3 linked regions of the Cricetulus griseus genome follow. The protein of the gene in region 2 interacts with the protein of the main gene of each other region in a pairwise test. Links are inferred from orthologs where the notes say so. Each region holds a gene or a part of one and is shown on either strand. Other genes may lie near its edges. The genes, in order: Atrip, Cinp and Cluap1.

Region 1 (4,186 bases), on a different chromosome or scaffold from region 2:
CCAAATGCAGACCTTGGAAGGAAGGTGCATGCCATTTAGTAAGAGCAGGAAGTACTTAAGACAAATGATGGCTGAATATTTCCAGGCAACACTTGTTATTGTTTCTATTTTGTTTCACTTTTTAGAGATACTGTCTCACTATGTAGCCTTAACTGGCCTGGCATTCACTATGTAGATTAAATTGACCTAGAGCTCATGGAGATCCACCTGCCTCTGCCTCCTGCAATTAAAGGTATGCACTACTACACCCAGCTTTGGTTATTGCTTCTAATGGAATTTAGCGAATAGGCAAAACTACTGTCCATAGCATGCAAAACAAATGATCTGGGTCACCTTTTTAGAGAACTCCTTTTCTTTTTCATTGAGTGCTTGAGTCTTCTCTTGCTCAAGAAGGAAGTGTGATCTTCTCTGTTCTTCTAGAACTGATTCTGTCTGATGCAGTGAGTCACGCAAAATTTTAATTTCTCCATTCTTAATTAAGACTTCTTCTTCCATTGCTTTCAGCTGTAAATTATGTCCAGTCAGTTGGTATTCAGCAAGAACAGTTTCAGAATACACTTGTCACATATACATAAATTCTTTCAACTTTTTTTGACACTATGGGTCACACACTCCAGAACTAATGCTCCATGTTACATTCCTGGGTTTCTTAGAGGCACTTACAGATGGCCATATGAAAGATGATGATTACTTAACAAAACTAATGAAATAGCAACCAATATAATGATTGTTCCTCAAATGAAAGATACAGGTTATGGGAGCTAAAGAGATGATTTAGCAGCTAAAAGTACTTACTGCTCTTGCAGAGGACCCAGGTTCCTTTCTCAGTACCCACATCAGGTGGCTCACAACCAGTTGTAACTCTGGTTCCAGAGGATCCAAAACCCTCTGACCATTATGGGCACCTGCATACATGTGGTGCATGTAAACTCACATAGACTTACATGCATACACAGAGCAAATAAAAAAATCAGGCATTCTTCCCCTAATCTTTCATTTCAGGGGGGTGAATCTACATGCATGTTTTAAAAATTTTATATTTTTTTACACAATGCTTTTTAATACGTAAATGAATGAATTAGCTACAAATGCAAGAAGTTAGAGCTGGAAATATAGCTTAGCAGTCGGTGTCCCTGTTTATAGCACGTGTAAAGGTAAAGTTATATTCTCAGCATTACACCAAATAAACAAGGAAAGAAACCTCACAAGTTACATACCTTTTCTTTAAGTTCTTTGTATTGTGTCTGAAGTACTTCTAATTCAAAACTATCTTTAACTGGAGCATTTTCTTTGTTTTTCCTCATAGGACTATTTGATGACCCATCTAATTGGCAGACCTTATGAGCACCTGCATAAAAAATAGTTCCCATTAAGTTGAGCATGGTGGCACAGAACTGTAATCCCAGTGCTTGGGAGGCTGAGGTAGGGGGATCCCAAGTTCAAGGCTAGTCTAGTTATAGAGTGAGAAAATCTTGGGAAAAAAATTCCATAAATACTTCAGGACTCAGTATGTACCCACCTTTGTCATAAAATGCTTGTCTTGAAAGCCAAGTTGAGAAAGACCCAGTAAATAATATTTACCAATACTTTCAATCTCAGAACATGATGTAAACTCATAAAGAATTCTTATGAAATAGCATGTCTGAATACTCTCCCTTTGCACCTAATTTCAAGAATCTCAGCTAATGGCTGAGATATCACTGGTTATAACTACAATGTATCATTAATATTATTTACTGCAATATGCTAGACATAGGATCTGCTAGTCTTTAAAGACACAATGTCGAAAAAAATGGATATATCTCACGGGGGAGGTGGGGTTTCAGGGATGGATTCAGGTAATGCAGGGCCAAAGAAAGAGGAGGAGTTGCCTGTACCATTGGGTGGAGAGTAGTGCTCACCACTACCACTTAAAACATCTGGTCAGCAATGAGTGTTTTCTAATGCCAGGTTTCCCAGGCAATATTGCTGGAGAGATGGAGGTCTACATTTCCAGGAATAATCCTATTTTTCAGATGCTTTAGGTGTTAAGAACTGACGAAAAGGGCCCATCAGATCCTCCTGACAGTCCACGAGATTTCACTTTTTAAGATGTAAGCTCTGTGAAGGAAAGTTTTGATATTTCTTGCTCATTGCCCGTGGCTGTTGCCATTCCTAACTTTTGGGTAACTATCGTAGATTACTGGTTGTGTAAGAATCATTTCTTGCCTCTGCCAGACGCTTCCCATGCTCGTGCTGGGCTGCATAAAATCTAAATCCTCTCACATGGGTTGTGACAGTTCTGAAGTGGTCGTAGTTATGTTTCAAGGGAAATAAATAATAGTCTGGCTATCTATATTTAAAGCCTGGGTATGTGAGGCCTTTGGGCATTCTGGATGTTGTAACACCAAATCAAAGGGCCCTGTGAAGCAGAACCGCGCTTCGATCGGGGTCCCTCGCCTTATAAAGAGAAGGGGAAGCGGTGCAAGACACCATTGCCAAAGCCACCGCTTTGAAGCGGTGTGCACCACCCCGGGGGAAAGGCCCCCCTCAGGCACTCACTGGCCAGGCTGTTCCGAGGCGCGACCGGACACTGGCTCAGGGCCTGTGACGCAAGGATGTCGAGTTCCTCTAGGTCGTCCGCGGTGAATTCCGCGTGCGCGCCGAATGGGTCTTCGGGGTCCGGGTCCGCGGTCTCCGAGAAGCTGCGGGCCCGCTTGCTCGGAGGGTTGTCGAAGGCCCGCGATAGGCCCGGGAGAGGCGCCGGGCCGCCGCTCTGCTTCCTGTGGCTGCTCGGTGCGGGTGTCCCAGCCATGACTTCCTTCTGCCCGCAGCGTCCGAGGACGCCAAGCGCAGCCCCGTCCGCAGAAAGCCCGACTTGGCCCAACCGCCCGCGCGCCGCGGCTCGCTTCAGCTACGAGCGTCTCCCCAGCCTGCGGGCCAATCCGCTGTCAGCTAGCGGGCGCGGAGGGATGACGTGTACTGAGCGCGCTGTTACACCTGACAGGTTCCTGCTGCAGTCTGGACTCGGCACCGCGAAGTCGCCGCTTGTGCCTGGGCGCTGTGCAGTGCTGTCGTGGCTACCCGTGTTGCGGGACCGAGGAGCGTCTGTCCGGCCGCACCTGTGGCTGTCCCCGCTGGCGTTGCGTGGAATACAGTCCGCCTTGAGTCGAGACGGGCAGCAGCCAGGGGTCACTCACCGCGCCTGCCCCGCCTGTCATGTATCCGGAGACTCTCTTGCCTTGGGGAGAAGGGATCTTCCAGAATAGCGAATGTTTCAAGGATGTGTGTATTTGAGGAAAGTCCGGGAAGGGCGATCTTGAGAACGGTGTGTCTGTTCGCCGCTGCTTGAACTTTCTTATTTCTCGGAGACTCTTTATGTCCTGAGCGCTGGTTGCATAGAGGTGAATGAAGCTCAAGCGGTCAAGGAAGGCTCCTTGTGAGTGGTCCTTGGATCGCCTAACAGGTTGAGGGAAAACTGGCAAGAAAAATGGGTAAGAGCCTGACGCATAATGTTACTGAGAAAAAGTCATCTTCGACAAGGATACTAGGTGGAAGTTCCTGCGGCAGAGAGGTGTGGTAAAACTTCACAGTGGAGCGAAGATTTGGGTTGCGCTTGGGTGTATGATAGGCTTTTATGAGCATAAGTGGTGGACGGAACAGTTGGCAGGACTGGGGGGTTAGCATTGGAGACCAACAGGATCAGACTTTTCTACTCTGCTTCCTGGGTGCCAGACTTAGCTTGTGAGCCTATCTGTCTGCTAAGACATTGGGTGAAAAAGGAGAGTGCTCAGGCCTAGAATGCCTTAGGTCGTGTGTGTGTGTGTGTGTGTGTGTGTGTGTGTGTGTGTGTGTGTTTGCCTGCATGTATGTGTGTGCTCCACATGCATGTCTGATGCCTACAGAGGCCAGAAGGCATTGGCTCACTTAGAACGGCCTTAGTTTTTGGATGCAGCGGCTAGTAGTTTCCTTTAGCTGCCCAACATGTTGACTGCTTAAGCCTCCCAGCCCCCTCCCCGCCTGTTGACGGTGTCTTGACATGTAACCAAAGCTGGCCTGGAACTCCAAAATGTCCTTCCTCCCCTCTGAGTGCTGGAACTATAGACATGAACCACCATGTTCAGCTGTTTTTGTTTTTTAAGATGGTCTCAAACTTACAATCCGCCTGTCTCAGTCTCCAAGTGCTAGAATTGTAGGTGTGGGCTAC
Region 2 (3,651 bases):
CCATCGACATTTTTGAAGACATGCTTTCTAATCACTGGGACCTGGGGCACAGACTAGGCTGGGACGGAGGCCTGTGTCTTCTGCTTCAGTGCAGGGATTACAAACACACACTGGGTGCTGAAGTTTGAACTTAGGTCTTCATGTTTGCATTATGAGTTCCAACTCCTCCTTTGTCTTTTTTTTTTTTTTTTTTGGTTTTTTGAGACAGGGTTTTTCTGTACTGCTTTGGAGATTGTCCTGGAACTCTCTCTGTAGACCAGGGTGGCCTCGAACTCACAGAGATCCGCTTGCCTCTGCCTCTCGAGTGCTGGGATTAAAGGTGTGTGCCACCAACGCCCAGCTTTTTTATTTTCTTTTTATTTAAGATAGGGCCTCACTATGGCTTAGAACTTGCTCTGTAGTCCAGGCCAGTCTCAAACTCACGAGATCCAATTGCCTCTGCCTCCCAAATGCTGGAACTGAAGGAATGAGCCACCATACTTGTTTCCTTTTCCTTTGTCTTCACTTTTTCCTTTTCTTTTCTTTTTTCTTTTTTTGGTTTTAGTTTTTCATGACAGGGTTTCTCTGTGTAGCCCTGGCTGTCCTAGAACTCACTCTGTAGACCAGGCTGGTCTCAAACTCACAGAGATCTGCCTGCCTCTGTCTCCCAAGTGCTGGAATTAAATGGTGTGCACCATCATTTGTTCCATCCAGCTTTCTATTCATTTTTAAAAAAAATTTGCGTGTACGTGTATTTGTGTGTCTGTTTATAGGTATGTGTACTATGTGTATGCATAGAGACCAGAAGAGGGCAGCTGTGAACTGCCAGGGGGATGCTAGGAACTGAACCCAGTTCCTGGGTAGTAGAGTAGAAAATACTCTTAACCTCAAGAGTCATTTCTCTAGTCTCCCCACCCCTACTTTGTCTTTTTTAGAAAAAAAATGAAGCTGGAGGTGGTGGCACACACCTATAAATATATTCTAGCCCTTGAGAGAAGGCAGAATGAAGGTCATTTTAACCACACAGTGAGTCTGAGGGCTGCCTGGGCCTTACATAAGTCCCTGTCTCAAAACAAATAAAGGATGGAGGCTGGAGGGACGTCTCAGTGGTTAAGAGCACTTGCTACTCTGTCAGAGCACCTAAGTTCCATTCTTAGTGTCCATATTGGGGCTCACAGCTGTCTGTTACTTCAGTTTCAGAGCATCCGATGCCCCCTTTTGGCCTTTTTAGGCACTGCACCTACATGATGCGCATACATACATGCAGGCAAAACATTCATACACACAAAATAAAGTTACTAAGTCTAAAAAACAATAATAGCAGTAAGGTCTGGAGAAATTAGGCTTAGCTACTGAGAGCACTGACTGCTTTTCCAGAAGACCCAGGTTTGTTCCCAGCACCCACGTGACAGCTCACATGCAATTCTAGTTTCAGGGTAATGCTCTATTCTGGCCTCTGTGTGCAACAGACACACAAGCTGTACACAGACGTACACGCAGACAAAATAGCCATGTATACAAACAAAAAGGGACAAAAAAATGAACTGGGTGCAATGGTGCCCATCTGTGGTTCCAACTCCTTAGGGAGGCTGAGGCAGAAAATCAGCCCACCAGTGTGAGATTAACCTGGGCAGACAGTGAGGTCCTGCGATGCACACACATAACCCAGCACTTAGGAGACGGAGGCAGGAAGAATACATGGGGTTCAGGGCCAGCCTCAGGGAGGGAAACTATTTCAAAAAGAACCATAAAGCAACCAAGCAAAATCAATAAGTGGAAGGGAGGTGAGGACAAACGGCAGCCAGCAGCATGAAATCCCATTTACTTGCCACCCCACATTCCCGCAAGACAATGTGATGGGTCTGCGTCTTCCTCTTTCCAATCTTTTTATAACATTATCAACAGTTGTAAACAATATGTAGCATAATCTATTTATTTTCACATTTACTTGTGTGTATATAGGAATGGGCACATTTATGCCACGGTGTGACAGGGAAGGACAACTTGCAGTAGTTTGGTTCTTTCCTTCTACCCCGTGGGTTGCAGTGACTGAACTCATCAGGCTTGGTGGCACTAAGCCATGCCTATGGCCCAGTGTCAAATTTGTAATCCTCCTGTCTTTGCCTTTTCAGCACATCCTACCAACACTTGCATTTAAATGTATATGTATGGCTCATATTTGTATGTATCATTTCGCCATTCTTTTGGTTAAATATTTTATTTTACTTATTTACACCAATAAATTCTCACCCTCTTGACTCCTGCACCCAGTGGTTAAATACAGAGTGTGGGAACTCCGAATGTACTTACAACAAGCTGACTTTTAGGTTGGCAATATTGCTCGCGGTGGTAAAACCGGCATCACTGAGGCTTTCCCATTTCAGGATTAAGTTATGCCAATCAGCTGCATTGTCCTTAATTTTTCTTGCACTGACAGATAAGACGGGTTTTCTGGGTGTTGCAATTCCAAGAGTCTTTGCTGATAGGGACCAAGAGAAACACGACTGTTAAGGAACACATGACCACAGCCCTCCATAGTAAAATGGTCTGAAATGCCACACAAACTGGACAAACCAATGTCCCAGAAACCAAGAGGATGTTCTCAGCTCATGGCTCCATGGGTCTCAAATGTAGCCCCAGCTGGCCTTGAACTCACAGATCCTGGTGCTCCTGTCTCTCCAGTGCTGGGATTAAAGGTGTACGTCACAGCACCTTGTCTACTTTAAGAGTCAGAAACAAGTAAAACTGTGACTTTGTGCTAACACATCAGTGGTCCCATTCTCTCTCCTATGAGATCATCTAGATTTGACTATACGTATTCCAGCCATCTTCTTCCAGGCCTTTTGACTCCTGAAAGCTCATCACATCATATACTGAGCAAGTGGGACACTGGGCATGGAGAGGAGATCTTGCCAGGCTGCGCTGCTCTGCATAGGAGTGGGGAGAAATCCATGCTCCTGCCTGCAACACGGCTTCAAGACTCATCACTCCCCACTTCCAGCCTTCCACCTCCAGGCAGAACTCCGGGAAGCTCCTTCCGTAAGCTAGGGCCGCCCATCGAAGACTCATCTGATCCCACTGTCCAAGGAAAGCAAGACCAAGAGCAGAGTGTGTGTGCTGCCTTGTCAACTTAGAACCCACATAGCCATCTCACAGCTGGGAGGAATCCAGGACACACGACAGCTGCATGCCTCGGAGGCTACCCTTGGAGGACCATGCTTCCTGGGCATGAATCATAGCTCTGAGTATAAATGTATTTGTCAATCTCTTGGACCTTCTATGTTCTCATCTGCAGAGTGGTGATAAAACAGCATCTGCTCCACAGGGTTGTTAAAAGTGGATACACATGAGTTTGGGGCAGCCTGATCTACATACAGAGTTCCAGGCTGGCCAGGGCTACATAGTGAGACCCTGTCTCAAAAAAACAAAACAAAGTATGTAAATAATGTATGAGGCTGTGAGGTCCTGACACATAACAACCTGTATCACAAGGCCTATTACTAGTAGCCATGTCTGTCCATTCCTTCTCCAACATGGTCTTTATTTACTCTGTACGCCTGTGCCAGCTCTGTACCATTCCAACCTGGATCACATAAACCGTTTGTGTGTGTTCACTCACCTAGTTAACTCAGTTTTCTTTAGGGCTATTCTTCTTTGTTTTAGTGGTATTGG
Region 3 (3,651 bases), on a different chromosome or scaffold from region 2:
GGCTCCATATTATTTTTTTGAGACCTGATTCAATAAGACTGGCCAACAAGCCTCAGTGATCCTCCTGTCTCTACCTCCCCAGTACTAGGGTTTCAGACAGGCACTACAGCATTTGGCTTTTCACATGGGTGCTGGGAATCTGAACCCAGATTTTATACTTGAACAGCAAGCATTTTACTGGCTCAGCCTTCTCCCCAGCCCCAATATATTTAATTTTCAGAATAAAAGTCATAGAATAATGATGTAATCTGTTCCCACTTAGGCTGAAGAATTTTCAAGCAATATTTTTACCTATGTTTGACAGTATGTGTGTATGTGAGTGTATCTTACATGTGCATGGAAAATCAATTTGTAAGGACAAAGCCCCTGAAAATTAGCTATGACCCTCTAGGTTGAAGTGGAACATGAGAAAAAACCATTTTAAATTTTTTTTTTTTATGAGATGTACTCATGTGATCCCTTTACTCTGTGTTAATTCCTTGGCCACAGGGATGTAACTGTACCGAACCCAAATGAGCAGAATACAGAGTTCAGTTGCAGAGGCCATTTCTGAGGTATCTGTGAATCATCAATTCCCAGGGCCACAGAGAAGAACATTACAGGTGCTAGGCATGGTGGTGAATGCCATAATCCCAACACCTAGGAGGTAGGGCAGGAGGATCAGGTTCAAGGTCATCTTGAGGTACACTGTAAATTAAAGGCCAGCTTAGCCACATGAAATTGAACAGAAGGACTGTTAGAGGTAACGATTCCCAATGAGCAGTATGAGGACAGATCCGGAAGAACAAAATAAAAGGAGGCAGGAATGGCTTCGGGGACCCTTCACAGTACCCTGTGGATCTCAATGCTAAGCAGCACCCATTTGACTTTGCCCTTGGTGATCTGAGAAACAGGCAAGGGAGCTGGGCAACAGAAGGAGTTATACTACCTTGCATGAGCACCTCCATGGCTGTCCGAGGCTTAGATAGCCGTCTCTCCTCTAGCTCACTATCAGATTCATCGTCCTCTTGGATGTCTATGTCTGAGTCATCATTACCTGACAGGAAGAACAGAAGGCAGAATAAAGGAGTAGTTCTTGCATTACAGCCAAACATCTCCTGTCTATTAAGGCTTCAGTGCAAAAGCATCTGCCTTTCTTGGCCCCTTTTCATCTATTAGCTTTTATGAGACCCCTTGGATTTTCTCAGGTACTAGTGAAGTGTTAATGCAGCTCATAATAGAGCAATTTTTCAAAGCAAAAAGAATGTGGACCGTGTTATGACAGACTGAATTTTTCACAAACTGAGTAGCTGGCTGTCAAGGTAGCTGGAAGCCCTTGGCTAATGGGGGAGGGAAAGCCACTCTGTCCTATGCCAGGCTGTCACTAAGAGTCCTGACCTTAACAAAGATAAAGAAGTGGAGCTAGATGAAGAAGATAAAGCAGGATGGAGGCGAGGAGGGAGCCCAGGCTTGGGCAGCAAAGCAGGATATCCCGAGAAAGAAAGTGCACTAGTACATGACATTCTTCACTGGGGAAAGTTCTAGATAAAGGCTACATTGGGTCCCTGGGATTGTGGCTCAGTGGTAGAGCATGTACTCACTTTCTGCAAAACTCTGGGTCCAATTCCTAACCCCCCCACAAAACTAATTAAGAAAGCTATTTTTAAAAATAAATTGTATTTATTTTGGAGGGGTGTTCATGAACGTACTCTATAAAAGGGATTTTCAGTGCAATTGCTTTTTTGTTTTTTTCAAGAGCAATCACTTTTTTTTTTATTAAAAAATTCTCAGTGTGTGTGTGTGTGTGTGTGTGTGTGTGTGTGTGTGTGTGTGTGTGTGTGCTTGTATGCCATATGTGTGGGGAGGCTTGTAGAGACCTGAAGAGGATGCTGGGATTCCCTGGAGTTGGTGTTAAAGGCATTAAAGGCAGTTGTGGGGTACTTGGTATGGGTGCTGGAAACTGAAGTAGGGTCTTCTGGAAGAGCAGCAAGGGTTCTTAATCATCCTCTCCAGCCCTGAAATCACTCTATACACATTTAAAAAATAGTCTTTGTGCCTATAACCTATGAACATTTTCTAGACAGAACCAACAGAGAGAGACTATATTGGGGAGAAAAATCTCTCATTGCTTCGTGCCTCACTAAGCCCAGGGAGTGACGGGTGGGAAGGAGGAACTTGGAAAGATTTGCAGTCGTTGGTCTGACATTGACTTAGAAGTCAGCCTGGAAATCCAGCAGTTGTTGGTCTTCCAAAAGGCTTTCCTTTGTGCCTATATGAGATAACTGTATCCACCCAGGAACTATGGAAGGCAACTTGCTTCCTTTAGCCAAAGGAAGAAGAGCTGTGTTTTTCAGTTCATGAGGGAAAGCCTAGAGCTGGTGACAGTGTCACAAAGGGATCCCTCAAGATCACCACCACAATCTCCTAAAAGTTTTTATACAGACAATGGATTCATATTAACATAATTTAATAACTATAACACAAAATCACCACTCAGTTTAGTTTCCTTCTTACTTCATCCATGAAAATTTGATATCAATGAAATATAGATCACTATACCACTTGTTTTCTGTCTTGACTAACCTAGAACTAAAGCAGCAGGAGTGGCTTGGCTAGAGACACTTTTCAGGTTTTCTAAACCTGTTCTTAGAGGATTCCCCGAAGTTCCTGCTCTCTTTCGAGGGCTCTCTGAGAACAGGTACAAAGGAGATAAACACAAAGGGAACAGGCAAGTTGGGGGAAGAGCTAAATGGTCAGGTGTATTGTCTTGACCCTGAGAATAAAAACATCTTATGAAAACAGAGAAGTAGCAAGAGAAGTGTAATGGTGATGAGGCAGGAAGATAACACAACGCAACTGTGGTGTAGCAGGAAGACCACACACTGCTACGGCTCCCAGTGTTGGATGGACGCCCTGATGTTGTCCCGGTGAGCAATGCCAGCTCATCATGGAATCCCAGAATCTAGGTCTCAAGTTTAGTGCATTTTCCTATAGGTGAGAGCCTTACTGAGCACTCCTGGATGACTGTATGGCATCTGCCAACGAGCAATGGTCCCTTCATAGATACTGCATGAAACAGTTGCTTTTTTAGCATGCTCTATAACGGGACCATTCATACTACTAGGAACAATTTGTCTTTCATAATTATTTATTACATAAATTCAAGCTAACTGTAGTATTTAATGAGACAAAAATGTTGTATCATAGGAAATGAATATTAGTTAGATGCTGTGTAATTAGAAGCAAGCTTTGATATTATTATTATTATTGAAAAAGACTCTAGCCTGGTGGTGGTGGCATATGCTTTTAATCCTAGCACTTGGGAGGCAAAAGCAGGAAGATCTCTGAGTTTGGTGCCAGTCTGGTTCTAAAGAATGAGTCCCAGAACAGCCAGAGCTACCCAGAGAAACCCTGTCTTGAAAGACAAAAACAAAAACCTAAACAAAAACACAGAAGAAAATAGATTCTTCTCTCATATAATTCATCCCGACTACAGTTTCCCTCCCTCCACTCCTCCTAGCTCTCCCATTTCCCCAGGTCCATCCATTCCACCTCATTTCCTCTTCAGAAAAGAGCAGGTCTCCAAGAGATGACAGCCAAACAAGACAAAACAAGATAGTTACAATAAGACAAGGTGAAAGCCTCATATCAAGGCCAGACAAAGCAACCCAG

Evidence for each region.
Region 1: the proteins of Cinp (region 2) and Atrip interact in binary tests that used the Homo sapiens proteins (3 or more experiments, as listed by UniProt). The link is inferred for Cricetulus griseus from reciprocal best matches to the Homo sapiens genes CINP and ATRIP.
Region 3: the proteins of Cinp (region 2) and Cluap1 interact in binary tests that used the Homo sapiens proteins (3 or more experiments, as listed by UniProt). The two-hybrid records come from large-scale screens. The link is inferred for Cricetulus griseus from reciprocal best matches to the Homo sapiens genes CINP and CLUAP1.

The regions. Positions count from the first base shown.
Region 1 is NC_048597.1:217,184,690-217,188,875, forward strand, and holds the start of Atrip (ATR-interacting protein), read right to left. Parts: upstream 2,914-4,186; 5' UTR 2,795-2,913; coding exon 2,542-2,794; intron 1,349-2,541; coding exon 1,218-1,348; intron 505-1,217; coding exon 334-504; intron 1-333. Other genes in the region: Ccdc51 (mitochondrial potassium channel), read left to right, coding at 3,470-3,473. UniProt on the Homo sapiens protein: Required for checkpoint signaling after DNA damage. Required for ATR expression, possibly by stabilizing the protein.
Region 2 is NC_048598.1:183,138,479-183,142,129, reverse strand, and holds part of Cinp (cyclin-dependent kinase 2-interacting protein), read right to left. Parts: intron 2,459-3,651; coding exon 2,290-2,458; intron 1-2,289. UniProt on the Homo sapiens protein: Component of the DNA replication complex, which interacts with two kinases, CDK2 and CDC7, thereby providing a functional and physical link between CDK2 and CDC7 during firing of the origins of replication.
Region 3 is NC_048600.1:42,720,990-42,724,640, forward strand, and holds part of Cluap1 (clusterin-associated protein 1), read right to left. Parts: intron 1,037-3,651; coding exon 929-1,036; intron 1-928. UniProt on the Homo sapiens protein: Required for cilia biogenesis. Appears to function within the multiple intraflagellar transport complex B (IFT-B). Key regulator of hedgehog signaling.